Astyanax mexicanus: one gene and its partners. The protein of the gene in region 4 interacts with the protein of the main gene of each other region in a pairwise test. Links are inferred from orthologs where the notes say so. Each region holds a gene or a part of one and is shown on either strand. Other genes may lie near its edges.

Region 1 (6,864 bases), on a different chromosome or scaffold from region 4:
ACAGTTAATCCCCTTTTTGCCTGGCCCACACTACAGGATAACTGGGCCGATTATGATGCCGAGTTGTCCTTCCCACCATTTACAAAAAGTCTCCAGATTTCAGGGTGATTGTAAATATTTGAGTGTTAATATTTATGTTAATTATTTATTTATTTATTATTTATTTATTTTTATTTTTTTGCATTAGTTACTTTTATTTTGACATGGTCTGTTTGGTGTTTTTGAGTTGTCTCCATACTCTTGTGGCTGTCCATGTCAGCATGTAAGGTAAAATGTTAAAAAAATTACAAATTCTGCTTTTTGTATTGTAAACAGTGTTTTTTTTTTTTTTTTTTTTACTTTAATTTATTGCCTTTGCATATGAAAACTTGAAAACTCTGGTCCACATGCTATAGCATTTATCGTACTTGCTAAATGAACAGAGCTAAATGTAACATTCCACTCTTGACTAACTGCAGTTTAGAAAGTTTTTTTATGCTGAGGCTTTACCATGTTTCAGTAGATTCTCACACAGGATGGCAAAACTCTGCATTCCATATTTTTATAAATAACTTTGCCTTACTGTCTGAATTTTCTTTCTTTAAGTCACATGATGTACATGATACAAATAGGGCCACATAAAAATATATATTTCACATAGATAATGTTTACTTTGTTCATTTTAATCTACTCAAATGGAATGCACATCAGACAATTTTTATTTAGTGATCCATTTTAAATGATCATTTTTAAATATTTCTACTACAAAATAATTTAAATTCTAAATCAGTTACGAATAACTCCACTAAAGCTATTATACCAGAACGAGCAACAATGAGCCACTTTCTGCATAATTCCTAATCAATGCATTGCTATATTGTGCATAAGATGTGCAAATATTTTACCTCAGCCTTGCCAGCTTTAATCTGAATACTGCTGTCATCAATCTGGGTCTTCGCAGTGTCTTTAAGGGCAGTGTGGTCTTGTGATGTGGTAGAAATTTGCCCTGGGTCTATCTCCATTTCTTGGTCAGATGTTGTTACCAACTCTTTGCTGGATTTCCTGGTTGTTTCTCTACTGGCTGATGTAGACTGATTTTCCAATTCCACAATATGTTTCAGGTTTGAGGATATTAGCTGAAAAACACACAAACAAACCCCATAAAAAGCTACAGTTGGTAAACCGTACCCAATGACCGTACTGAATGACTGATTTGACTATGACAATAGTCTTTTTCTGGGAATATGTCATAAAATGTATTTACCTGTAACTTGGAGATGTGTTGTTGTAAACAGTTGTACACATGGGATGGTTTCAGGTCAGCAACATTAACTGCATTCACGTTGGCAGTGATGCTTAAAACGCTGGTGCATAATTTTAGCTGGAAAACAAGTACCAAGGAGCTTAAGTATAATTCTAGTGTCTAAATATTTACCATTTAATTTAAACTTGTGGTAACAAGGTTAATAAATGCCAGCTCCCTTTTTGTACTATGTACAAAAACAATGTCTACCAAACTCCAGCTTGTTTGATTCACCTGATTAATACACTAATGGGAACTATATAGTATTGTAAATGTTACCAGACTTAAACCACTTTTTTGGGATGTTAACATACTATGTAATTAATTTTAATCTTTCAAGCCAATCTGAAGCATCCAGCTTTTTACACTCATGTATAGACATCAGGGGTACTAAATAGTAAAGGGCAGAAAAAAACAAAAATATTAGATTAAAAAAAAGAATGTAGCAGTTAAAAATACATTGCCCATGACAGACTAGGGTTAAGTTACCTGGCCAGCCAAGCACACCAACCTGCACTAATAGGTATTGTGGTATGGGTGATATGACCTCAAATCAATATCAGGATTAACAATTATCTTTGTTTGTGTAAAACATACTGATAATAAATTACACATTGTAGGTAAAATGATAACCCATATTTTGAGATCAGGAAACTTGTTTATGCCAAAAGAGCCCATGGTGATGTATGTCACAGACCCTTTAAAATTTGTTTCTACTGCAACCTGTAATGTTTAATTTATTTTAGCTTTTAACTCATGAAGTTCCTAAGTGACATATACAGAACATCCTAAGAGCATAAAACTAGCTCCTTTAAAAATTAGTTTTGTTTTGACAACTGTCCCACCCATCCGGATGTCGAGTAGAAAAGCACATATGCCACATAGTGGCAATCATAGTGGCAGCACTAAAGCCCCCTTGAGCACTTTTCAAAGTTCTCAGTGCCTCGTTTTAAATGTCAGGGCGCTCAGAATTCTATCAATGAAGTGTGCAGCTATTTTAAGCTTGTTAATGGTGTAAAAACAGTGATTTCTCTGCATGGGCAATGCTGTGCCATATCACTAGCACTGTAAGCCTTTTGGGAGCTTCGGCTAAAAGTGCTGCCTTTCAGAATGCTGGGGGTGAACCGAGTTGGACTATTTAACAAAGGTTTGTAATCTTTATCATGTTTCACTACAACTCAAGTCTATTTCACAAAGGATTTCTCCTTTACACTGTGTATTGAACATCCAGTCCTCACACACGTGCAGGAAATCTGCAGCAGTGTTTTAACTAGCTGCCAGTACACAGTCCTGGTTTGTAAGAACATAACTAGCTAAAAAGCTAACAGACAGCGTGTACACGGGTGTAGATTTCCAGCACGTCTACACCCTGAGTCCAGGCGCTGTCTGTGTGTATGGGTATATTTGTATTTGAAGCGACAAACGACTGTAGTTACGGTAATAAACTGCATTCAGCTCTTGCTATATATATATTCAGGTGTAAAACTAGAAAAATACGTCAGTATAACCAACCTCACAGCCCAGCTCAGTGAGAGACCCGAGCAGGGAGGAGAAACACTGTCTGAAACTCTGGTTAGGAGTCTGGTTGGGTCCCTCGTTAGGGCGCATTTCTCCGCTCCTGCTCTCTTGTTTACTTTCCTCGCTGGACTGCAGACCCGCTCCATTCGCCGCCATTGCACTTCCGTGTCCCTCCGCGCTGCTGATTGGTGGAAACTCAACCGGAAGTGGCTGCTAGGAGACGGAGAGAGAGAGCGAAAGACAGAAGAAGAAACCAGTAAACTCCAGTATAACGTACTATAAATAACCAGTGGTGAGTCTTTCCCAGTTCTGCCTCCTCACTTACTCCAACCCAGGGCTGTGCAATATGAATAAAGTGCAAAAGGTCCGTTGGCAAAAACTAGAAAGGAGCACATGGTGACGCATGTCTCACAAATCCTTTAAAAAATTGTTCCTACCTGTAACTTTACATTTTTCATAGTTTTAACTCAAAGTTTCTAAGTGACATATGTAACTGAGTTAAAGTAAAAAAAAATAACTACATAAAATATGTATTCCTACAAAATTATTATTATTATTATTATTATTATTATTATTATTATTATTATTATTATTATTATTATTATTATTATATTAACCTTAAGTGAACAAAAGGGACTCTTGTTATGTTTTATACTCCTGTGGGAGGTTAGTTGATGTGCTGTAACAACAAAAAGATTATTGTTTTTTTGTGCTTTTATATTTACTACAGTTCTCTGCACCAACCCGCCAACGCCTTAAGACTTCAACCCCCAATTACGACTTCAAGCCCCCTAAAGGGCTAAAAACGATAGTATGGGGTATTTATGCCTGGAAGAATATTGTAATAGGAGTTCAAGCACCCCTATAGTGGATCATACCATTCCATGTTAATAAGCATTCCTCTCGTTTACCTGCCTGGCTCATTATTGGTCAGGTGACTTGCGTCTAAGTTAAGGTGCACAAGCTGCCCAAGCTACAGCATTACGTGTAAGTAGCTTGCTATCTACTTAGCTTTCTTAAATATGCACTTTAAACACACTTTTCCTTACATAAATAACTCACAGGAATTTGCTATCCAACTTTAAATGCTGCTAATTTACCAATCCGCCTTAAATGCTGCTGTCGCGGCACACAGGCTGTAGATACAATTTTTAGCGCTTTTAAGGTGGAACAGAACATTCAAATGGGAATCCACGTTCTGTTTTACATGGACTGTTTGTTTTTTCTGCACACCCTAAGCAGAAATGTGTAAAACTCTTAAAACACTTTTATCATCTACTACAGTCTAAAAAGTGTGTTTTAATGCAGGGAAACTGTTAAGGTGGAAAGGAAATGTGAACAAGAAACTAAAAGCTTATCTTTTTATTAGGTTACTTTGAAAATGACCAATAGCCAAGCTTTTAAAAAAAATGCATTACCGAAGCTATATAAATGCATTCCTATATCTCCTCTTAACATTTAATATTGTCGTCACAGTGTCAAAATATGTGGATAAGATGGGACAAAAGCCTTATCTACAGGGATTTAAGTTACATTGTTATTTTCTATTTTTTTTTTTTATTAAATAACAAACGATTCCTGTGGGAGAGATCCTGTAGAATATGAATAAAAAATTAATAGCGAGAAAGCTGATAAAAGATAGCAGCCAATAGCATTGCGTTTGTTTTTGGAGGATTAACTGTGGATTTTGCTGTATAATATATTATGTATGATGACTATATAGGTTATTGTGTGGTATGTGCTAGATTAGCTAATGTAATGGATTTATCTTTTACGTGCTGTAGACATTACAGTAAGGAAGCGAGACACTGTAAGGATTGTAAGACTTCAGTTTAGTGAAGCGCCTGCGCTGTTTCCGTTTACACCCCGAAGAAAAACTTGACCCCCCCCCCACTGTGTGATAGTCCATTCAAGACTCTTAGCCCAGAGAAGTTGATTCCACCTCTGTTTTGTTAATGTAATTCTGTATTGCTTAACAAAGGTTTGCAAAAGTAATCTTGTGCCCATGTGATTCTTTTAGCTCTTGTTGAACGCAGATTCTTGATGCAAAAAAAAACCCCTCCAGATTCTCTTAATATTTTTTATTGATATTATGCACCATAGAAGGAGAAATATGCAAGTTCCTTCCATTCTTTCTTTGCGGAACATTACTTTTATACATTTAAATAAAAAAATCACAGAATTTCTTACAAACTGGTGATTCTCTTCCCGTCTTGTCTCTTCAAATTCTCAGCAATTCATGGATACTGCTTTTGTTTGTACCTGATACATAATAAGATTTTTTTTTACCTCATTATCCTTAATTTGTTCTTTGACTCACTAATAAGAGTTCTTGATCTGCATTACGTAGCATCTTTCAAATCATCTAAATATATGATGGAGGGTCTTTTATGACATTGGCATGAGTGGTTACCTGGATCACTGTCATTTGATACAGCAGCTGTTAGCTAAATAAGTTCTGAGGTGTAGTAGTTATTTTTTTTTTAATTGAGGAGTTACTTTCTGCTTAAATGCAGTGACCGCACCTATAGATAATGACCCACAATATACATTAAAACAACCCAAGAATATAAACTCAGGAATTAAAAACAAGCATTTTGTAATTTGTTTTGTAATATTTGAGCTTGTGAAAAATAGAAGGATTATTTAAAATCATAAATCCTAAAATCTTAACATTAAAATAAATGGCTAAAGCAGTTTTTTGTTAAACTCTTTAAATGAAAGCTAAAGGTTTAAGCTTTACTGTTAACAGTTTCATATTTTTGCAAATATCAAATCCGTTAAAATGGTGTACAGAGGCAGAATTACATATAGTGTCTCCCTGTTCAAATATGTATAAATCCTTTATGAGACAAGAAAACATTTTTGGCCTATTATCTACTGATATAATATTGTAGGCCAATTATTTTAAATCTGCATCCTGACATTATCTCATAGTGCTTTATCGGTAGCCTGTAATATTCAGCTGTCTGTTTGAGTCATGTGATGGCACTGCTTCCTTTAGCTAATGACTGTCCATGTCAACTAGGCATCATTGCTAAATAGGGTGAACTTGTGAACTGTGTCCATCAAGGTATCTTGACCTTTAACAGAGTGTTGATGAATCTGACACTGATTCAGTATCGACTGTTTCCAGTGTCACTCTCTTGGTGATGCTGTCAGATTCTGTTCTCTAAATCATCTGTTTTTTTTCACCCAAAGAAGACTCTGAAAAGGCTACTCCCCATTTATAGTAACCCTGACTGTCAAACAAATGTGTAAGGACGTTAGGAATGGGAAGCTTCCCACAATGGTGTATTTTTCTGTGCTGAAGGACTGTGGGAAAATCTCCCTTGGCCATTCATACATTTTTCTTCTTCTTTTCATATAATGAGGGGAGACTGACGAACGCAACAACAGGAAGAAAAAAGAACAATTGCCATCAACCACAAAGCTCTTAGTTCTGAACTCAGTTCTTAATGTTCTCTGGACAGGTTAATCATTTTAGGAAGGGTTTTGAGACAAACTCCTCAGCTCCCATTTGTTCTGGGGTGCCGTTTAATTCTTCCACTGTGGGGAAGGAACTGTAACACTTGACATCTTTTGACATTTTGCAGTTAGTGAATATTCCCACACTGCAAGACAGAAACAAAGAATACTGCTCATTTTTACAACCAAGACATGCAGCCAAGCTGAACCTTAGAACATAAAAAGCACACATTAAATTTTCCAGTTCAGTGCTTAATTATTTGTTTACTAATTTGCAATTAATTGCTATGGATTTTTGTGGACAATTTAACATTTATCTAATCAGGCAAAAGAAGTCCAGGCTCTCTCATGCTTTCTTTCTTATTCTTGATCTCTCTTTCTGTCTCTCTCTTACATTTAAATCCGGATTGAGTTTCCATAAAACATAAATGGTTCTTTGAGCAATGCAATAGACACTTTTGGTTCCATAAAGAACTCTTTGTCAAAGAGATGTGTAAGTGTTAAGAATTGTCATGTGATTTAAGGGTTCTCTACCAGTTTAAAGGTCTTTTTCGTGATTAGTGTATGGTGTGTTGTGGTCAATAAATGTTACCCTT
Region 2 (7,641 bases), on a different chromosome or scaffold from region 4:
TAGATTTTATCTATAATTCTGTTCAAAAACCTAGAGGCCTATACAACACATTCTAATTGCAGTGTGTGGGCGTGGTGGAGTTGGCAGTGTGAACTGTGTCTTATCTGTTAACTCACATGAAAAGCACTGTGGTGGCACCCATCAGCACACCGGGGAACCATGGCTTCTCCCACCGCAGGAACTGGTCCCCGGCCAAAATGACCTCCCCCCATCCTTGAAGCTGCTCCTCGAGTTGCGCAGTCTCCTGGGCCTATATTACATACAACATTTACAGTCAACAACAGAACAGAAAACAGTCTGTTCACATAGGAGGGATGAGCACGATCTGTCTTATGCAGGTAGTGATGCCATATGACAGTACTGTTTTTTAGGTATAGCATGTAAAATAGGGATAAATAACAGGCATTACATCCCCAAAAACATTCTGTCCTGTTCCATGGATGGGCAGTGCCCAGTGCCATGATTGCAACAACACACAGTAGAATGTAGCATATCCTTTCAGGTCACTGAAAGCTTGAATACATGTATTTTAACCTGAATATCTTCAGATACAGCCGTAGATGAATGTAATGTCAGTAAAGTGCCATATAACCTAATTTAAACTGGGTAAATAATAATAATAAAATAATATTTTTACTAGCATACATCCCACTCTGCAAATGAACTACTGCACTATGAAAGAGAGAGATTGAGTGTAAATCCTGTCAACAGAAAACACCAATACTAACACTAATAAGCACAAAGACAGCCAATCAGGATCTTTGTATTACACCCTCACTGTCACTCACTAGCTCTGTCTTAAAATCACAGGAGTCACAAGTGAGGTGGGATGAATCATTTCTATAATATCAAAATTAATAAGGCTAACAAATAAATGTTTCCGTGGTGCTATGATATCACAAAATTCTTTGGTCTTACAAGGCTGATATGAGCCCTCTCCAGACGTGATTAGTTTCTCATGGGGTCCTGGGGTCATTTTCTCATTTATGGGGGTCCTCTGTGATTATAATCCCGTCCAGAACGACCATGTATGTGTTTTTGTCAGACATCCTTTGAAAAACTTACAGGCTGAACTACCTACTGTTTTTCGCTGAACTCTGTGGTTGTCTGTTAATTTTATTTCTGTCTGGACGCCATTTCTGAATTTCTTCACCTCGCGTTTAATAAAATAGCTATTTGTCCACTGCAACAAACTGGATTACACTTTAGGTGCATGTTTCAATGGACAGCCATGTAAAAACACAACAGCGAGTGGAAATTGAGGAGCTACTGATCACAATGTAATGTGACCGAAAAAGACAAAAAAAACTCACTGGTCCTCCTGTTTTTCAATAGCAGTCCGGATGCAAGAGTTTTATCACTGAATAAAAGTGTGAAATATTTTTCACAAACGTCCCCCTGAGAAACTAATCCCATCCGGATAGGGCTATGGCTTGATTCCATTGTTTTTTAATGATTTTTAAATAGCATGTTAAAATTAAGCAGAAAACATTTTACAACGTTCTATTATTTATCAATTGGCAAGAACACCATAAGCAAAAAAAATAACAGTGTAAATCATCCACATAAAAAAATCACGATACATCAATACAGGCAATATCTGGTCCAGACTTCAGGTACATACTGCAGAAGCTAGGCCTGTGCCAAACAGAGCCTGGATGCCCAGTCCCGCCCTAAGCCCAAGATAGCTACTATATAGGTCATGAAATAATTAGTCTAAAACTTAAATCATTACTGATTTATACCTACTTAGATTATCTTGTACTTAAACTTGCTTTAGAATGAGGCCTAAAAAAACAGACCTCTTATAGCTTGCTGGCTAACTAGCTATTTCTTTGACTCAGCTGTAGGTTATTTAACCTACAGCTCTGTAAAATTGTATATGTTTAACAGTAAGGCTGCTAGCTAACTATATTAGATAATTGTGATTCACTATAACCCGACAATAAAGTGAGATTCGTGTAGGAAACTACTCCCAAATTAAAGACTACGCAGCTTTAGATATACTTAAATGTCCCGTTCCACCTTAAATTATGCAGTACTTTTATTGAGGCGCTTGTAGAGGCTTGAGCATCTAGTTAACTGCAGCTACATTTAAGGTGGAAATGAAATGTCAACTGATAGAGGTGGTGTCAGTTTAAAACGCGTCGTAGCTAGCGTTAACTAGCTAATAACTCTAATTCCTCGTTACTCGCTAAATGTACATTTGTGGTCGACATAGCTGAGCTAGCGTTATATGGCTATTATCTTATCACGGAACAAGGGTTTGGTTCATGTGTTCACTGAGCAATAATAGGGGAAGTGGGGACACACCTAACCTAACTAGCTAGTTAGCTAGTTGACTAACTGGCTAATAAAGCTTGACTATAGCTTTTAACAGCAGGCAGGAATAATTGTATTTTTCATATCAAATATCCTGTATATAGCAAACATATCAGACCATTATCAGTTATTTGGATTAAAAAGTCTTCTTCTCTTTAGCTTTTCTCTCAAATTCTCCAGCATCCGTGCTCACTATAACATTAACCAGCGAACGCTAGCTAATTTACAGTTAGCTAACCTAGTAACCTCAATAATTCTAAGCTAAACTAAGCTAATAATAAAACAGGAGAACACACTTAAACTACTATATATTTTACATCAGTAATTTAGCCAGCTAAGTTAGCTTGCTGCTTGGCTAACCTAAGCTAGCTCGCTGGCTATCAAAGTGACAGGACTAGCGCAGCTAGCTGGAGTTAGCTATACGAGCGGCTAGCCCTCCCCGCTGTAAACAGTCCGCGCTAAGCTAACCGGCTAATTAGTTAGTTTTTTCCCTTTATACTCGTTTCCACACTGTAGAGTAAATAAACCGGAACACCTACCAGCTGATTAGAGCTTTTATTGTCGCCCTCTGCCATGGTGTCCATGTGTGTGTGTTTGTGAATTCACCGGGCTAGCAGAAGTAACCGCCTCACTGGAGAAATGCGCAGCTCACTGGCAGCTAACGGTTACAAGCAGGATGTTTTTATCTCAAACTCGAGCGCAAAGCTTCATGGGAAATGTGGTTTTCAAATACAAAAGATAAAGAAAGAATAAAAGTTTTTTATAATTAATTCAAAAACCGAAATGGTTACGTTGTTACACACGACATTCCAAAAGCATAACTAATGCATGTCAAAATATAGAGAAGTGTTTCAAACTTTCTTTCTTGATATTTTAGGGAAATCATCTCAAAATAATAATTTTTTTCTAAAATGACTTACTTTCTTGATATTTTAGGGGAATTATCTTTTTTTTTAATAATTACTACTTGATATTTTAGGAAAATCATATCAAAATATATTTTTCTCAAAATAATGACTTACTTTCTTAATATTTTAGGGAAATCATTTACAAATGTATTTTTTCTCAAAATAATAAGTTACTTTCTTGATATTTTAGGGAACTCACCTTATTTTGACTTGTTATTTTAGGGAAATCATCTCAAAATAATGTTTTTATTTTCAAAATATTTACTTACTTTCCTGATATTTTAGGGAAATCATCTCAAAATAATATTTTTTCTCAAAATGACTAGCACCCCAAAATAAAGAAATGACAGTACTTAAAAATAATGACAATTTAATAATTAAACAATATTTAAAGAGACAAAGAAGGCATATCATATTCAGCTGGTGATACAAGATTTTAGTGCTGTGTATAAGATCTAGAACACCTTTAAGAGAACTTTGATGGTAAGACAGGCAAATTAAAACACCATCTTGACTGTTTTGAAAATTCAGAATGTCTTTAGTCCCTTGAAGAAGATAGAGAAAAAGTCTAAAGGTTGTGATGTCACTGAAACCAAAGGTTATTTTATTATTATTATTATTATTTTTTTTTTTTTTTACAGAGTAGGGTTATCCAAAGTTGACAAGATGAGCAGGGAATTTGTGGACAGGATTAAATAGCTAAATGTTAAGCTAAATGAATATTTGAAAATGCCTAAACTTCCAATTACAACAAAAAAACTGTATAAAATAGTTATAATAGAATATAAATATAAAATATAAAATAGGGGTGACCTGCAATAGTCGCTGATTTGATTATTTGATTCGGAGGACCTCTATTCGACTATTAACCTCATAGTCGAATGTACTATTCTGACTGCATGGGGGTGCCCAAGGCTGCTAAGCATTAGTTGTTATAGGAAATGTCTTTGTTTTTTGTAATATATTGCCTTTTGTCAAATAAAATCGTACTAATTTCTGTTATTTGTTTTTAATTACGTGTGCGCATTAACAAAAAGGCTTCTTACACATTAATATATCACCCCCTGCAGTTGCACAATCCAAATGAGCGGAGCTGAACACGCTACAGGGCTGTCAGCGTCTGCCGGTGTATTTGCTTTAAGAAGCTCTCCTCTCTCTCTGATGCGCAAAGAGAAGAGGCGTGTTCAGCGGTAGCAGAATTAGCCGAGAGTCTCACTGACAGATCATCCCTGGAGAAAAGTGACATGGTGGTGGATGCTGGGCCGACTGTGCCCAGACATAAAGACACAGTGATGTCTATGCTGCTGGTCAGTGATGAGGATGAGGAGGACCAGGCGGAGGATGAAAACAGTGAGATGAAGGCTTATACAAAAGACTTTGATCAATAAAATACTAAAAATATTTAAAATGAATAAAAAATAATTAATATAAAATAAAAACTCATTTAAAACACAATCAAAGGCTATCTAATAGTGCGCAGAATAATATCGGTTTCAGTTAGTTTCAGTTTAAAATAACTGAAACAGCTCCCCAAAACCTCAACCTATCCTTTATATTTGACAATATTTTATTAACTTTACAGGTCCTCACTCATCTTAATTTATTTTACTAAACTGAGTTTTTATATTATTAAAGCCTCGCGCTGAATTCAGCTCGTCGCGGCGCATTTTGCCTGATTTCTCTTGATTAAACACAATAAATATGTGAATTTAATACCTTTTAATACCATATATTTTAATTCACTTGATAGGACCTTATTTATTAAAACGTTTTTTTTAATCGCTATGCCGCGCGCGCTTTTCTTATGACTGACGCTAAACTGTTTGATCCAGCTGTTATATTATATCATCTTATATTAATACCATTTTAACGTTTTTCGTTTCTGTGTTTTGAAATTCGTTAGATTATATTTTTGTCAACATTTTGGGTTTATTTTCGTTTGTTATTTTTCTAATAATAATAGAAATTACATAATTTATTTTTTGTAATTTTTTTTGTATACTTTTTTTGCACAGTGCCTGTCTAACAAAGTTAGCCAACACATTTCCCAACTTGTGTTTTAGTTTTTTTCCTTTGAAGTGAAAAAAAGTCCAGAAGAGAATGGGGATCCCTTTTATGGTGCTATAGGGAAAAAAATGATTCGACTATTAGTTGACTAAAGGGAAAATCTGACGAATCAGATTCGACTATAAAAATCTTTAGTTGAAGACACCTCTAATAAAATGTACAAAATGTACTTCACAGTCAAGATGAACATATAATCTATATTTGTAACAATATGTTTGTGATTATTCATAGTAAATCTTAAACAATCTATTTTTACAGTGTTTAAATTAAATTTAAAACTATGCTGCAGACACAAAAGGCATGTTATATTCATATTCACCCATACCTCCTAGGGGTGTCACGATTCTCTAAATCCTCGATTTGATTTTATTTCCGATTTTATGGTCACGATTTCATGCGATTCTCTCTTTTTTTTTTCGTACAGCAGAGAGGCCTATGCCAGTTTTAGATTAGTCTATGGTCAGCCATTGGTTTGATTAATCAAATTTACAATATTTCAAAAGGTGGGCTTGATATAAATGATGCAAAGTGATACAAGTGATCTGTAATAAACCACATTAGGCACTAATGGTCAAATTAAAATAATTTAATTAAGATATATATGTAATGCCATGTAGTGGCTTTTTTGGTAGCAGCAGTGTGCACTTTTAAAACAGCAAATGTGCAACTTAACAAAATAAATAATAAAAAATACAGGAACAGTCATGTACAAAATAATAGAACAATTAGAGCCTTTACAAACTGAACTCTATCCTACTATAACAGTTAAACATGAAAAATAAGACTAAGACTTTTTCAGTCCCTGAGAATGACAAGTTTTTTTCTTTAACAAAGATATATTATTAACTTTATCTGAGAGACAGATGCTCCTTAAGGTACCAAAACTATTAACATATTTGAGACTAGACAAAACAACTGTTATTTTTATATTTTCAAGTTTTTCTTTAAGAAGATGAGAATGTCCACATTCTCTGGAGAAAGGGCTGCTCTTTGAGCAGTCACAATGTCCGGCGGCGTCGGCTACAGTGTGCTGCGCCATTTGCGTAGCTCGCGTAGCTTAGAGGGAGGGATCGTCGATGCTCTTTTTGACTTCAAGGCTCGAGACCATGACACAATTTCGATCGATTTCGACGAAATATCAAAATTGTGACACCCCTAATACCTCCAATATCATTCCTAAGGGGAAAAAGATGTTTTACTTATTATTGCAACGTCCTAAGAATGTATGACAACTGTAGCAACTTGAATCTTGTGTTTAACTTAAAACTTCCAATAACATCAAAAGGTACATCTTGCATATCATAAAACTAGTGGTGTCAATCAATTAAACAAATAATGAAAATCACATCAGAATTATGTGATCATGACTAAGCACTTTCTTTCTTGAGACTTCTTTTTAATGTGCATTTAAAAATGTGAATAAAGAATCAGTGTTAGAAACACATATTTGCATTATTGGTGTCTTAAAATCCCTTTCTATTAATCACAACAATATTCTGTGATTAAACATGACTACATTTAAGCAATTTTTGAGAAGAGGACAGTAATAATGTTGTAGTGTGGTTTACATTTGGCAGACTAGTTATATATATATATATATATACACTGCTCAAAAAAATAAAGGGAACACTCAAATAACACATCCTAGATCTGAATGAATGAAATATTCTCATTGAATACTTTGTTCTGTACAAAGTTGAATGTGCTGACAACAAAATCACACAAAAATCATCAATGGAAATCAAATTTATTAACCAATGGAGGCATGGATTTGGAGCCACACACAAAATTAAAGTGAAAAAACACACTACAGGCTGATCCAACTTTAATGTAATGTCCTTAAAACAAGTCAAAATGAGGCTCAGTATTGTGTGTGGCCTACACGTGCCTGTATGACCTCCCTACAACGCCTGGGCATGCTCCTGATGAGGTGGCGGATGGTCTCCTGAGGGATCTCCTCCCAGACCTGGACTAAAGCATCCGCCAACTCCTGGACAGTCTGTGGTGCAACGTGACGTTGGTGGATGGAGCGAGACATGATGTCCCAGATGTGCTCAATCGGATTCAGGTCTGGTGGAACGGGCGGGCCAGTCCATAGCTTCAATGCCTTCATCTTGCAGGAACTGCTGACACACTCCAGCCACATGAGGTCTAGCATTGTCCTGCATTAGGAGGAACCCAGGGCCAACCGCACCAGCATATGGTCTCAAGGGGTCTGAGGATCTCATCTCGGTACCTAATGGCAGTCAGGCTACCTCTGGTGAGCACATGGAGGGCTGTGCGGCCCTCCAAAGAAATGCCACCCCACACCATTACTGACCCACTGCCAAACCGGTCATGCTGA
Region 3 (7,190 bases), on a different chromosome or scaffold from region 4:
ACTCGCTGACACAGCTCCCCAAAGTTCTTGGGCTTGGAGAACTTGCGCTGATCCACGAAGCCGGCCCAGGGGCGGATGGACTTTCTCCGGCGGTCCAGCCATTCCTTCATCATGCTACCGGACATGCCTTTGGGCAGCAGCCTGACATTGTAGGAAGACAGAGCGACGTGCATCATCTGTTAGGTACGCTTTTACAATATGCAAAAACAACAACCACCACCATTAGAAAAGAACCAGTATTTCAGGTTACCACACAACACTGGGTTTATATGATCAGTATCTCTTCCTGAGACCTGGCAACCCATTTTTCTCTTCTGTAGAAGATAAAGGTCAGAGACCAATAAGTCCCTGAACTGCACTATTAACACAAGCTGTTTAAATCCCCTGTGCTGTCCAATCAGGCTTTAAATGTGGGGTGTGGCCTACAGAGCATAGGGACTTTATTTTCAAAATGCTGGTAATCACAGGTTTAAATGGGGCAAATTCTGGCAAATATTTAGATTTTGTTGCTACAGTGAGTTTTTGTAACTGCTTCCATTACTTTCGCTTTTTACCTAAATATATTAATCTGTTGATTTATTTTTTAGATTAGTAAATTTTTAATTGGATAAAAACAAAAATGAATAATATATATATACACACACACACACATACACACGTAAAGAAAACCTCTACTGTCACCAGTAGAGGGTGCAGAAAAGCATGTTTGGCTGCTGGTTCATATAAAAAACATAAGTCTAGGGCATCCCTAACTGCTTAAGAAATACATCCCTACAAAAACATTTAAACTCTGATTTTTCTCACCTGCTCATTATTCCTGCTGCGGGCAGCTCCTCTGAATCGCTGCTGAAGGGGTCACTCAATTTCGAATCCATTTCTAAAATCAAACACACCAAGAAAAAGAAACAAATATACTTATCTTACCGTAAAATGCCTACACAGACTTTACACAATTAGACATGATGCAAATGTATTCTTATATAACTGGACCTGCTACAGTCTCATAGAGAGATGAAAGACAATACCTCATAATGTAGAACATCTTGGCCACCAACCTCTATTTCTCAATAACCTTAAATAAAAAGCTAGAAAGGGTGTGTCAATGGAAACCTCTCACCCCATATTCAGCTTTCAGGGTTTGTGAAAGAATGCAAAGAATCTTGTTTGACCGGTCTGAGAGATCATAAATACGTCATTAGGTTCCTAAAAATGACCAACAAGCTTTTAATGCGGCTTTAAAGTGCAAATATATGGATACATATTGTATTTTAATTACGAATATTAATATAACAAATGTTATATATCACATATACCTTTAACAGTTTTATTCTCCGTTATATGAGGACTATCTTTTTTTGGTAAACATCTGTAGCCTTGTTAGTAGGCAACTTTTATCCACACAATTCACACTCAAAGTGGAAAGCGCAGTGACTCGGTTCTGATACATCAGATCACAGAAGACGCCTTGTGCTGATTGACATCACTCTTTGGAGTGATGTGGGGAGAGAGCGCCATCTACCCGCCCAGAAAGAGCAAGGCCAATTGTGCTCTCTCAGGACTCCAGCAGCTGATGGCAAGCTACATTAACGAGATTCGAACCAGCAATCTCCCGATCATAGTGGCAGCACCTTAGCCCGCTGGAAAGTACACAACTAAGAGAACAAGAGAAAGTCCTAATTTAGTTGACAGCTTTAATATTACATGCTCTTGGCTGTGTCTCTAGAATTAGTGGGTACTTAAATATTTCCATTTTGGGTCACTTTTAACTTCTATCCACTACGATTTTAAATTTACATTTTACTCCACTACATTATGCAAAAATAATTTCTTGATGTTACATTGTGCAAAAAAATGAAATAAAAATAATTAAATTAAAATAAAGGAAGCACAAAGGAAGCTGACCATTCAAGGAACAATACACAGCTTTTGTTTTAAGCTTATTTTAACCTGTTGAACGTACACTACGTTATTGCTGGGTTATACATAAATATAGATACATTTAAATTTAATTATATTCTTTAATTACATATGCCACAAAGAAATTAATAAAAAATCACTGTACTGAATAAAAAGTATTTGAATAGCAGAATCACAGATTTTTTCACAGCTTTTTCTGTTTTGTCTGCTTGTCAAAATATTGTGTATTTCTACTTTAACTCTAGTAGCATATATACAAAATATAAAATTACACAGGTAAAATAAGATTTTTTTTATTTTATTTTTTGTTTTTTTTTATTATTTGCTAGCTGCTTTTATATGCCTAATTTTAAAACAGGAGGAAAAGGCAAGATAATTAAAAATATTTGCAAAATAAATGTGCCGTTCCACCTCAAATGTAGACGCCTGAATGTAACGTTAACTCCTGCCCCATTTAAGATGGACAAGTCGAACTACTAACTGGTTAGCTCGTGTCTAGAGGTGGGTAACCCAGGTCCAGAAAGTGAAAACCCAACCCATGGTTTTGCACCGACGGCCTGTGCGGCTCTGCAGTTGGTGGAAAACCCTGGGTTGGATCTTTACTTTCTGGACCTGGCTTACCCACGTCTACGTGTGCTAATGGAAAATCTTTGTCACTTCATGCCCAGCCCTTTAGAACCGTATAAGAAAGGCAAAAATACAATTTTACAATTTTTTAAGACTATTTTAAGTCACTAATTTACCAAATTAACTAAAATTAAACTTTTTTTTTTTTACTGTTTTTTTTTTTTAGATTAGTTTTGCGTTAAACCACCGAGGCTAAGCTAATAACTAACTTGCTTAACGTTACTAGCTCTACACCCTGTAATATTACACAATAAAAGCTGGGCATGTAATAGATAACTATACACGCAAGTAGTTTATAAGAATATATAACTTACACATTAAAATGGTTTTAAATCGTACAGAATGCAGAGAAAATCGCTTCTTACTGTAATGTTGGTCCTGTTTATATTGTGCTCTGCTGGCAGATGATGTGGAGCTGCTGCTTCTTCTACTATAACAGTGAGTATAGTATACTGAACACTGCCATCTGCGGTAAGTACCTGTGTATAAGTAGTGTTGCCTACTATACTTTACGAAAATATACATTAAATATACTTTCTCTGTATTTCCATCAAATGTATTTTAAGCAATACGCTTTATATTATACTTTGTCTTGATAGAAAATATACAGTTCTGTAAAACATTGAGAGACCACTTTTTTATGCATGTTGGCATGTTCTCCTCCACCAGTCTTACACACTGTTTTTGGATAAATTTATGCAACTCCTGGTGCACAAATTCAAGCAGTTCAGCTTAGTTTGAAGGTTTGATAGTTTCATGATCATCCATCTTCTTCTTGGTTATATTTTAGAGTTTTTCAATTTGGTAAAAGCAAAGTGTGTAGTTTTTTTCCCCACTAGCATTAAGGTGTACACAATATGTATATACATTAAAAAAGCAAACTATTACATTTACAAAATTTTTCAAGTGTATTAAAAATTATGTTAAGATTTTTAGTCTGAAACCCATTCTTAAAATTTAATAAAATTTAAAAATTTGGCCAAATACATGCAGGGCTTTGTATAAGACATAGCCCTCAAAGATGGTATTCATTCAGGCCCGTCCACACATATTTAGATATTTTTAAAAACAGTAAAGTCTGCAAATTTTTATTGATTACTGCAGCTCAGCTTTACTATTAGAACAGTCTAGTGTTTTGTAATTATTATAAAAAATAACTAAAACACACTGAAAGAGAAAATGTTTGTCCAAACGTTTGACTAGTACTGTATACATACTGTACATCATCAATTATTATCAGCGAAAAATTAAATACAATAAAAATATTGAAAAATAACACATGTAAAGGTGCAGAGCGCTCTGTGATTGGTCGCGGTGTGTGGGACGTCACGGTGCGTGTGCTGTGCGCGCTGTGATTGGCTGTTCGGTGTTGTTATTCTGTATGCCCCGTTGTAGCTAAGCTAGTGAAGGGATGTTTTGAGAAAGCTGACCGTGGGCGTCCTCTTGCTTTGACCTAAGTAAGTGTGGTAAAATAAGGTTTATATCATTTCTGTACCGAATAAAGAGGGGTGAACTTTAATATTAGTGTATATTTAGTGTTGATAATCGGTATTTTTGTGTGGTCCGTCGACGGCTGCGCTGGTTAGGGTTGTTTTTCTGTTGCTAAGCTAAGGCAGGCAGAAGTGTCAGGCGAAGTGTAGCTGGCTAGCGTAACTAGCTTAGTCCACAGGGGCCTTATTGATATCCCTTAACCTCGGTAAACCTTCTATTTAGAGAACTGTCGTCGGTTTTGTTGATAATTTCCATTAATAAACATGCAATAATAACTCAAAGGAATCTAAAATAACCGACTTTGTCTAAACAGTTCGATTATAAAGCCTGACAGGCCGGAAATTCCCGATGTAAAACCGAAAAACGGAATGTTCTCGAATGAGGAGTGTTGCTGGAAACTGTAAAAATATGAGAATTATCGCTTAAAAATACTAGCTAGTTTAACTAAATTCATGGAACTGCTCCTAATAGTCAAGTTAGTGTGTAATATATCGTTAGCATTAGCCAAATACTACAGTAACGTTACATAGCTAGGCTAGCTGGGTAATTAATTAACTTACCTAACCTAGCCAGTTAGTAGGGCTGGGAGATTATTTGAATTAATATGAATAATCGAATTATCTTAACTAAGTTACTATTTTATACATACTTACACATATGAGCTATCGTTACCAGAGATAATCTCAGTAGATAGACAGTTGCTTCTGTCAGAAAAAAAACTATTTTACTGTACACTTTTCCTTAACTGAAATACAAGGACTATGCTTGCACCGTGTATATAAAAGCTAAATAAAAAAAGCTAATGTTAAAGGAAGGTTGAAGGGGGTTGTTTACTATTTCCTAAAATAAAAAATAAACGAAATGTAAAGGAAACAATAGCTTACTTATCACATTAAGTGAAAACTGATGTTAAAATCTAAATAATAACTGAAAATCGATTATATATTTGGAAAATATCAAAATTAGTATTTTTTAAATGTCACCCTGTCCTACTAGCTAGCATGGAACTGATGGTAAGTTACCTGTTCCTTGCTAGTTATTTTATTGTATAGTTAGTTAGTTAGTTCGTTACTAGGTTAGCTAGCTAAGCTAGGTTATATCATATAAGAACTTCAAACCCTCATTTAAAATATTAATCGAATTATTTACAATAGAATTTTAAGATTAATCTTTATAAATCACACAGCCTCATAATGGGTATTCACATGTGAATAAAGTAATCAATGTTAGAAACACTCAGATTTGTATTATTGGTGCCAACCCCTAAAATAATTGTATTAATCACAACAATATTGTGTGACTAAATCGTGGATAAAATCATGATTTTTTTTTTAATGCTGGTACTTAACTGTATTTTTGGGAAGGGGCAAAAATAATGGTGTATGGTGATAAACACCTGGCAAACTGTGTCCATTTTTGTTACTGTATAATAATATCTCAGTGTAGAATAGACTATTGTAATATGCTGAGTTACTTAGTGTAAATGTGATTTTGAATGGAGAAAATTAACACTAGTGTAGCTCCATATTCCACACTCAACAGCTTGAGTGAAAATATGCAGTCCGCTGTGTGTGTTTGTGTGCATGACAACGCGAGTGTGAGACAGAAAGAAAAAGGTGAATACATTTTATATAAATAAAATAAATAAAAGTTAATTTGTCTTTTGACTTCAAAAATAAGCGTTGCTGTGGCTCTGTCAATTTTTATTGTTGTATTGTTGTATTACTAATAAAATTAAGAAGTGTTATATACGCTTTAAGCTTAACATACATATGAGTTTGTACCGTAATCAAAGTGAATACAGCACTGCTGACACAGCAGGTCGCGCGGATAGCTTTGTAGCCCGACTTGCATGAACTCGTCCGCTTTTATTTCGCTCCAAAACGCTGAAACGCGAGGTAATTTTGAGTTAAGTGTTGTGTTTAGAAGCAACTTTAGCTACAGCTGTTACAAGTGACAGCTGAAACGTGACATTACGCAATTTGTACACGTGCACTAGAACCGTGATGTAACCCGGTGTTCTGTCATTTTGTGCCACCTTGTCAAAACATGCTACCCTAGTGTATTTAAAGGTAAACATTACGAAAAATACATCATTCTCGCGTTTAAAGTCTTGGCAAATATATGTGATTAGAATCTGTTTTATAGTTATTGTTTATTATATTTTTATTGTAAAAAAAATATCTAACTTAAGCAAAAAAATCCCAAGAAAAACATCATTATCAGGAAAACACGTGAAAATAGAAAAAAAGAGAATTAACGCATGCGCAGAACCTTTAAGTAGCACGTTTTGATGGGTATCGCGACTCGACAGAACACCGGCAGTGCGGAAGACTGGGCATGTTTGGTCCATGAGTCGTATTTTGACGTGTCATCTGCTTAAGAGAAGTTTCCTCTTGCAGTCATACAGCATGATATTTTACATTTTCAGTTCTACCTTAAGTGGTGGAGTTTGTGTTTGGTGTGTGTATGTGTTTATTATGTTTTTATTTACATGCTGTTCTTCGTATTATGATTATTATTAATATTATTATTATTATTGCACCCTTTTTGTAACCCTACTCCTCCCACAGCTTTTGACATAGAAACACAAAATTTTGCAGAATCGTAGGACCTATACACGATTATGTTGCATATTGTTATTATTTTTAATATTAATATTATTAATGTTATTTATTATTATTATTATTATTATTATTATTATTATTATTATTATTATTATTATTATTAACATGTTTCTCTGTTGCAGAAACTTGCAGACACTTGTTGGTAACCAGCTAATCATGGCAACAGTCCGCTGCCCGAGATACTCCCTGCACTGGGAGGAGACAGACTGCCTGAGCTATTATGACATGTTGTCTCTTCATGAAGTCTTCGAGATTGTGGGTTCCCAGTTAACAGAATCCGACGTTGAAGTGCTATCATTTCTTCTCGACGAAGCTTACCCAGGCAGGCACCCTCTTGATCCAGAGGGATGGACAGAGGAAGTCTCTCCGGACTCCGATGTGCCCTCAAACTCTCCTTGCCCGCGTCTTTTGGAGGCTTGGCGCAGAATATGCCCGCGAGGGGACTTCTGCCTTGCCTTCGGCCGTCACAGACCCAAAAGTGGCACGGAACTGTTGCTGGAAATGGAGAGACGTGGATTTTTGCATGAA
Region 4 (7,143 bases):
GAAACCCTTACCCAAAACTCTGCACGACAAGTCTGGCTTTATTTTAATTCCAGAAAAACAAAACTTAAAAGATGAAGGAAGCCGATTCTTTGACAAATCTGCTTCACCATGCTTATCAATTCAGCTGACACCCCGTAGTGAATGGAGTGAATGTGTGTGAATGAGTATCAGGGACTGAAAAATAGACACTTTGAAATAAATTCTAAATTGCAGTTCTCTTTCAAGCTATCCATCAAAACCTGGAATGAATTAACTAACTATTATATAAAAACACAATACACAATACTCTCATTACTGAAAATGAGGGTCTTCCTCAATGAATGTCTGAGTAAAAATGAGATGGCTGACTGATTGGCTACTGGAAGACTGATGCATAGATCAATAATTAAAATCAATATTTGATTATAAACTTAAATATATAGGACAGTAAACATCTATGCTGCTGGGTTAATTCACAAAAACACCTGCATTATAATTATTTTACTAAACTGATAACACTCAGTAAATGCATTACATTCTTCTGTAATAGTAATTAGGATAAATACAAAAAATGTAATATTGCATAGGGTCAATATTTACAGTCTATCTGAGCACAAGCACAACTTCCTGTTTACCCTAAGATTCAGATGAAAAGAAACAGTAAATGAGATGAAGAAAAGTCAGAAAGAAAAGTAAAGTGAAGCATTGAGAACAAATTGTTAAAAGATGGATAGAAAGAAAAGAGGGGGAAATCGGCAGCAAAAATGAGCCGCTCAAAAATAACTAAGTGTAGCTAAAAGTTACTTCCACTGATTGGAACTGAATTAAAAACAAGTGAACAGGGGGGATTCCACCAAGCAGTAGTGTGAGAGGGGGATGGAGAGAGAAAGACAGAGAGTGTTGAGTGTCAGGCCTGATATCACCTGTTCTTCTTCCACCTGCTCTGTTCCCTCAGTCAAACCTTCAGAGAACCATGGGTGTAAAACGTGTGCCACACCATTACTACTACTGCACACACGAAGCCTGTGACATAACCAGTCCAAAGATACACATGAGTATGATCTCTGTGCTTCCAGGAGGCCTGAAATGGAGAGCCAGTGCCAAACCATTGGATTAAGTGTGCTCCTTAAAGACACATCTGAAAGATATCATCATATATGAGGGTATCATTCTGAAAATATTCACTTCAGATCATAACTGACACTCATAGCCTACTACTTAAAGTGAGCAAACCTCATCACTTCAGTCTTAGCCTGGCTGACCTAAAATGACTTGATTCTGACTCAAACTAGGCCCACCCTACTGTGCTAGACTAGGACAACCAGCCAGTGTACAAAACAAGCAAATAAACAAAACCCTCATTGCTAACAGCTAGGCTACCTGACGCAGCTCTTTTCTTAAAAAGCTAACTACACCACTAACGACAACAAACACCTCTCTGACTTTCTTCACCAGACTGGACTGACCCAAAGCAAACTGACATGTGACCAGACATTCTGTGATCCTGAGACCACTGCTGATGGGTCACTCTCTCAGACTGCTAGAAGCTAGCTTTATTATTATTAAACTGGAGGAAAAACATCCAATAACAAGCCTTTCTGTCCTGAGACGACCTATGTAACATGGCAGAAACAGTTAGAAGGCGGTTTTGTTTTGTACCCACCTCACCTAGTTAGTTAGTTAGCTAGCAAATTAGCAAGTTAACTAACCTAACTAGCTAGCATGTAGTATTTCAGTGTTTGGATACTGAGGAAGAGGGAGAGGAGAAGAAAAATAAATTCGGGAGGAGTCCTGCCAAACCAAACCAACGTGCCCCACAATGGCTAACATAACCTAGATAGATAGCTGTTAGCAAGCTAGCCAGCCAAATCTGACCAGTGGAAACAAATGATAACACATAGGTTAGCAGATACAGGCCAGGAGCTGCTGAGATACATCACCATCATAATTATCATCATCGTTATTATCATCATGTTTTTCTTGTTTGGCCCTTCTTTAGAAGACTGTAAAACCAAACCTCGTGCCATTCATTTATGCATTTAGGGGCCTTCTTGGTTAGAGCTTAGAGTAGTGCAAGTAAGTGCATGTAGCTAGTTAGCTAGATAGCTAACCTAGGTGTCTCAGATGAAGCTGCAGACTCACACATTTGATTGAGGACAGCATGTTGGCTAGCTTAGCTGAGTGTGTTCCGGTCTATTTACCTTATAGAAGGCCCCGTTAGAGCCGCGAACCTCCACCGCCAGTCCGTCCATGTTTGCCGGCGCAGCGCCGCTTTGAGAGTCGGGAAGCACCCCCAGCTTCGCCGGCCCTCCGCCGCTCTCCGGCCGCTTGAGGATTTCCAGTGTTTCGGGTGGAGAGGCAGGGGGTAGAGATGATGGGTAGAGAGGGGGAGGCTGAGCAGCAGAAGGTTTGTTTGGGCAGAAAGACACCCACCCTCAATTGCTTTAACTAATAACTCTACAACCGCTAACTGGCGAACTAACCAGTTAGTTAACTAACTAATCTAACGGTCTTGTTAGCTAGAAGGCTATTTTACCGTTACAGGCTATCGCAATAGCTAGGTTAGCTAACTAGCTAGCTAGCTAGCTAGCTGTTATTCTACTCGGCTGTGTAGCCGGCCACGCTCCCCCCTTGCTGTGGCTGTGCTGGGGTGCTGAGGGTGATGGAGAGGCGGTGTTAGCTAGCTAGCTTTAGCTAGCATATTAACTCAACTAACTAGCTAACTAACTAAGTCAGCGGCTAATTAGCTAGCTAAGCTAGCTATAGCTTTCTTTCTATCACTAGGTTAAAGCTAACACCTCCTTCCTTAGTTACCGGGCTCTTATAGCGAACTTAGCGTAGTTACGCTACGCGGCATGTATCTGTGTTGTTGAGCAGTCTGGACTCTAACGGGCTCCAATCTTCCACACAGCAGCGCTATCAGCTTAAAAAAAATACCCCAAACCCGCTGTGCTCTGCTACCGCCCGGCAACTCCTTTAACCCCCGTTGCCCGTCCCCTCGAACGCACGCCGTCAGAGTGAAAATGCGAGAGTGTGAATGACCCCAAAATGCCCACCCCTACTACTGGAAAGCCCGCCCTCACTGGAGACTAAACCTTTTCATTGGTCAGGGCACGTATCCATCTAAAACTAAGTCCTTCCTCATTGGTGGAGATGCCGGAGGCCGGGTCAACACGAAGTCCAGTGCCTGCGCTGCTGATTGGTGGTAGTTTTTCTTTACTAAATTTAGGCGACTCTTTTCACTATCCACGCCAATTCACAAAAGCCTGTGTGTGCGACGTGTTTCTACTGCTGGGAAAAATAACAAACACGACCTATTTTAGACTGTTTGAGACTATTTATTTTTCATTATGCTCCTTTTCTTATTTTATAGAGATTCATTAAAAGATAAATGCAGCTGAACTGGCAGGTGAACTTGTAGTATTGCCATATGGCCTCATAAAGCCACTCGAACCTTATTTCCACAATGCTGAGGTACATAGCGAATTTGAGAAACACACTTTATTAGCTTAGCGTTTGTTTATTAGATTGGTTACATGGCTATATGGTCATAAATACACACTCCATTAACACGGTAATGGTACTGGACATGTAGTAAGTAACTTACACACTTCATTAACACGGTACTGGACATGTAGTAAGTACACTTTATTAACACGTTACTGGACATGTAGTAAGTACACACTTCATTAACATGGTACTGGACATGTAGTAAAGACACTTTAACACGATACTGGACATGTAGTAAGTACACACTTCATTAACACGATACTGGACATGTAGTAAGTACACACTTCATTAACACGGTACTGGACATGTAGTAAGTACACACTTCATTAACATGGTACTGGACATGTAGTAAACACACACTTTAACACGGTACTGGACATGTAGTAAGTGCCAAAGGTGTCACAATTCATTATGCAGCTATAAGTATAGATACTAGGGTTTAAAGCTGAATTTTGGAAGCTGAATTATGAAAGAATTGTAAAAGTTCTGGTTTTAAAACTGCTTAAAGTATAACATTAAGAACAAAAGCTTAAGCCACACCACTGGAAACTATAGTGCATAACCCCCTCCCAAAAAAAAAACATTTTTCTAAAAATCTTAATGACTATAATGTCATATTAAAATGTTTATGCTGAAAAATCTTGTAAAGTATGTAAAAATATAAATGCTAAAAGACGAAGATAAAGCTATCCGAACAATGTCAAGTTACAGAGTTTATTTCTTTAGTACTTGTTTTTAAGACTGGCTACATGGCTACGTGGTAATAAGGTGAGTAGCTCATGCTTTGGGATATACACTTTGAGGCAATTAGCTAGCATTGTACTGCACATGTAATAAGTACACGGTTCATTAACTAGCACAAGCATAGTTTATATAACTGGTCACCTCAATTGTTATGATTTTTCTCAGTCTGTACCCTTACTGTAGCCTATTAGAATTCATAGACTAAACCAACAGGAGTACATTCTCTAAAATGTAACAACAATTACAAATAAAAATGCAATTAACTATTTACATAATCATTTCCACAGCATGCATCTTCTACATATATCACAGGTAAGTAAAACATAGAGTGACATAATAAAATGCAATAATTAGCATTTACTCTTTTTCAGGTTTACTGGATGCTGCATGCTGCCACTCCCTAGGGACACAGGTAAGTATCACTTTCAAGTTTATAATTAGTCTTTTTGGTTAAAAGTGAAAAATGTCTTTGAGAAGTGTCTTTCAAAGGTGACTTTATGGTTACCTTTCCTATCACACATCCCTAAATGAAAATTACCAAATTGTTCCCAATTTTCCTCTTCTGGTGCCTGTTGCATGTGTTACAAGACCTCAGGTGTGAAGGGGAAGCAGGTGTGTTTAATTTGATGTTATTGCTCTTACACTCTCTCATACTGTTCACTGGTAGGTCAACATGGCACCTCATGGCAAATAACTTTCTGAGAATCAAGAAAAACAAGAATTGTTGGGTGGTTATGGTTTTAAGGATGTAGGTTGTAATGGTACAAGTACAAACTTTAAGTTACACACTTTATTAGCATGGTACTACCATGACACGTTAAGGTATATCTTTTGGGGCCATTTAGTAGTATTGGTTCATATTGTACTAAATGCTGACTGGGTTCATTTCAGAAGAAGCAATGAATGAGAAGGGGCTCTAATACTTATACTGGTAAATAAAATGAAAACAGTAATAATAAAAAAGAACGCAGACTAGCTATCCATATTTGTTTATTAAAGCTACCCTGCATATAACAGTTGTTCATTTATTTGTTGTATACTATTTCAGATGTTTGCAGACTCTACCTAGACAATATTGTTTTAATTAAGACAACCAACAAGGTATATTTTCTAATTGACATTAGTGCAATAGGATTTAACACGAATACTTGAATATTAATGTAACTGGGTTATTGTCAGTTGTTAATTACCGGGCTGCAACTCTTTTTTGTTGTTTTTTGAGGTGCCTTTAAGGCGGTATGTAGTGGGTTTGCTGTCCTCTTGTTTATTTTATTTAACTTAAAGTAAATTGTTTAATATCCTTAATTTCAGAAGAAATAATAAATGAGAAAGTGTCTCAATACTTTAGTCCATATAGGGTCAGTCTCCCAGACCGGGCTTAAAACTAGTCATAGACTATATTTAATTTTTAATTAATAATCTCCATTTAGACCAGCTTTAATTCCTGTCTGGGAAACTGACCCATAGTTTGTAATTGTGATTGTAAATAATGTTTAAGTATTAGGTATATTCAGAGTGAGAAGCATAGAGATGTTATGGCATATCTTATATATGTTTTGTTTCTTTTGGCTCACATAAGTTTGCATTCATATGGCTAAGATGGCTATTTTTTTTCTAACTTTTAATTCTTCATATTACATCTAATCATTTGACCACAGTGGATTAATAATTTTCCATACAAAAACAATAGATGGAATGTACAACTTATAACATAAAATCCTTTAATTTATTTCCTTATCATAATAAATATATTATGGGGACATTAATGGAGTAAGAATATCAGTAGATGAGTGAGGAGGGGACATATGTGAAGAGGCTAAGTGGTAAAATGAAGCAGGCTACTCGGAACAGCTGAAGACGGCAGAGTTAAGAGGTCAGGTTAGAGGTCATCTGGTCCAGATACTATGACAGTTTTATGTGGCACACATGTAATGACGTGTGAATGCGACTATGAGCTGAATCAACGCATGTTTGAAAGGTTTGCTAAAGAAGACCTGTAGAAGGTTAGATATGTTGTGTTGGCTATGGTTAGTAGGGTTTTCAGTGTGTTTCAGTATTTCAAGCGTCTGTGAAAAGCTCACAGGGTAAAACAGGTGCTGGGAAACACAGCCAGATGTCAGTTGTGTTCTCTGCCTGAAATAACAAAAACAAAAGAAAGCTACTGAGTGTTTTTACAGGGTTCTTTTCACTGCCAGCTGTGTCAACCTGGTTTTTTGGTGTTATATTTTTTTCCAGCAGAGGGCAATATAGCCCTTGCTGTGTCGTTCCTTCAAAAATTACAGTCTACAGATGTCTAGGTGTGGGTTTTTATAGGCTAATCTGAAAATCAGTGATTTATCATGAAGTGATGTTTTTCAGTAAGTCCAATAACCAAAAGAGTAAAATGGAAAATTTTAAGAAGACAACCTTGGATAACAAATCTTGGATTACACTGCAAATCAAAATGCGAAATTACAATTTGTGTCAGAGCAGTAGTCATTTAAATGTCGTCCTGTGCGAACATATGGGGACCTTTAGCCGAAAGACATTTAACACTGACATGCCAAAAGTCACGAGATAGCATATGCAAATTACTAATTGAAGTGTTACCTCAGAGGACGTTTGGGAACACTCACACCTTCAAAAACTGTGAGGTGTTATCTTGTAATTGAGGTTGAACATTGGCCAGCATGCTCATAGCAAGATGGCATCAGCTATAAGAGTTTAAGATAGACATTTATGATTCCTTGATCACCAGTATGTATCATATGTGCACTGGGAGTACGTCACATAAGCCATTACCACACATAATGAACAGTGCAGTGCAGTAACCGGCAGTATCTGCTAGACAAGCAACTCCATATTGAATGCAGTAGGCCACACATGCATGTCCTGCTGGTTAGTGCAGTGTTCTTTAGCTTCAGTGGGACA

Evidence for each region.
Region 1: the proteins of fxr2 (region 4) and MAP3K12-binding inhibitory protein 1 interact in binary tests that used the Homo sapiens proteins (3 or more experiments, as listed by UniProt). The two-hybrid records come from large-scale screens. The link is inferred for Astyanax mexicanus from reciprocal best matches to the Homo sapiens genes FXR2 and MBIP.
Region 2: the proteins of fxr2 (region 4) and arl6ip1 interact in binary tests that used the Homo sapiens proteins (3 or more experiments, as listed by UniProt). The two-hybrid records come from large-scale screens. The link is inferred for Astyanax mexicanus from reciprocal best matches to the Homo sapiens genes FXR2 and ARL6IP1.
Region 3: the proteins of fxr2 (region 4) and rabac1 interact in binary tests that used the Homo sapiens proteins (3 or more experiments, as listed by UniProt). The two-hybrid records come from large-scale screens. The link is inferred for Astyanax mexicanus from reciprocal best matches to the Homo sapiens genes FXR2 and RABAC1.

Annotation. Positions count from the first base shown.
Region 1 is NC_064421.1:23,788,503-23,795,366, forward strand, and holds the start of MAP3K12-binding inhibitory protein 1, read right to left. Parts: upstream 3,011-6,864; 5' UTR 2,957-3,010; coding exon 2,795-2,956; intron 1,361-2,794; coding exon 1,244-1,360; intron 1,116-1,243; coding exon 885-1,115; intron 1-884. UniProt on the Homo sapiens protein: Inhibits the MAP3K12 activity to induce the activation of the JNK/SAPK pathway. Component of the ATAC complex, a complex with histone acetyltransferase activity on histones H3 and H4.
Region 2 is NC_064426.1:19,378,845-19,386,485, forward strand, and holds the start of arl6ip1 (ADP-ribosylation factor-like protein 6-interacting protein 1), read right to left. Parts: upstream 3,014-7,641; 5' UTR 2,907-3,013; coding exon 2,862-2,906; intron 251-2,861; coding exon 117-250; intron 1-116. UniProt on the Homo sapiens protein: Positively regulates SLC1A1/EAAC1-mediated glutamate transport by increasing its affinity for glutamate in a PKC activity-dependent manner.
Region 3 is NC_064413.1:5,389,696-5,396,885, forward strand, and holds the start of rabac1 (prenylated Rab acceptor protein 1), read right to left. Parts: upstream 3,024-7,190; 5' UTR 2,910-3,023; intron 878-2,909; 5' UTR 876-877; coding exon 805-875; intron 142-804; coding exon 1-141. Other genes in the region: dedd1 (death effector domain-containing 1), read left to right, coding at 6,819-7,190. UniProt on the Homo sapiens protein: General Rab protein regulator required for vesicle formation from the Golgi complex. May control vesicle docking and fusion by mediating the action of Rab GTPases to the SNARE complexes.
Region 4 is NC_064415.1:16,169,036-16,176,178, reverse strand, and holds the start of fxr2 (fragile X mental retardation syndrome-related protein 2), read right to left. Parts: upstream 3,011-7,143; 5' UTR 2,232-3,010; coding exon 2,181-2,231; intron 1-2,180. UniProt on the Homo sapiens protein: mRNA-binding protein that acts as a regulator of mRNAs translation and/or stability, and which is required for adult hippocampal neurogenesis. Specifically binds to AU-rich elements (AREs) in the 3'-UTR of target mRNAs.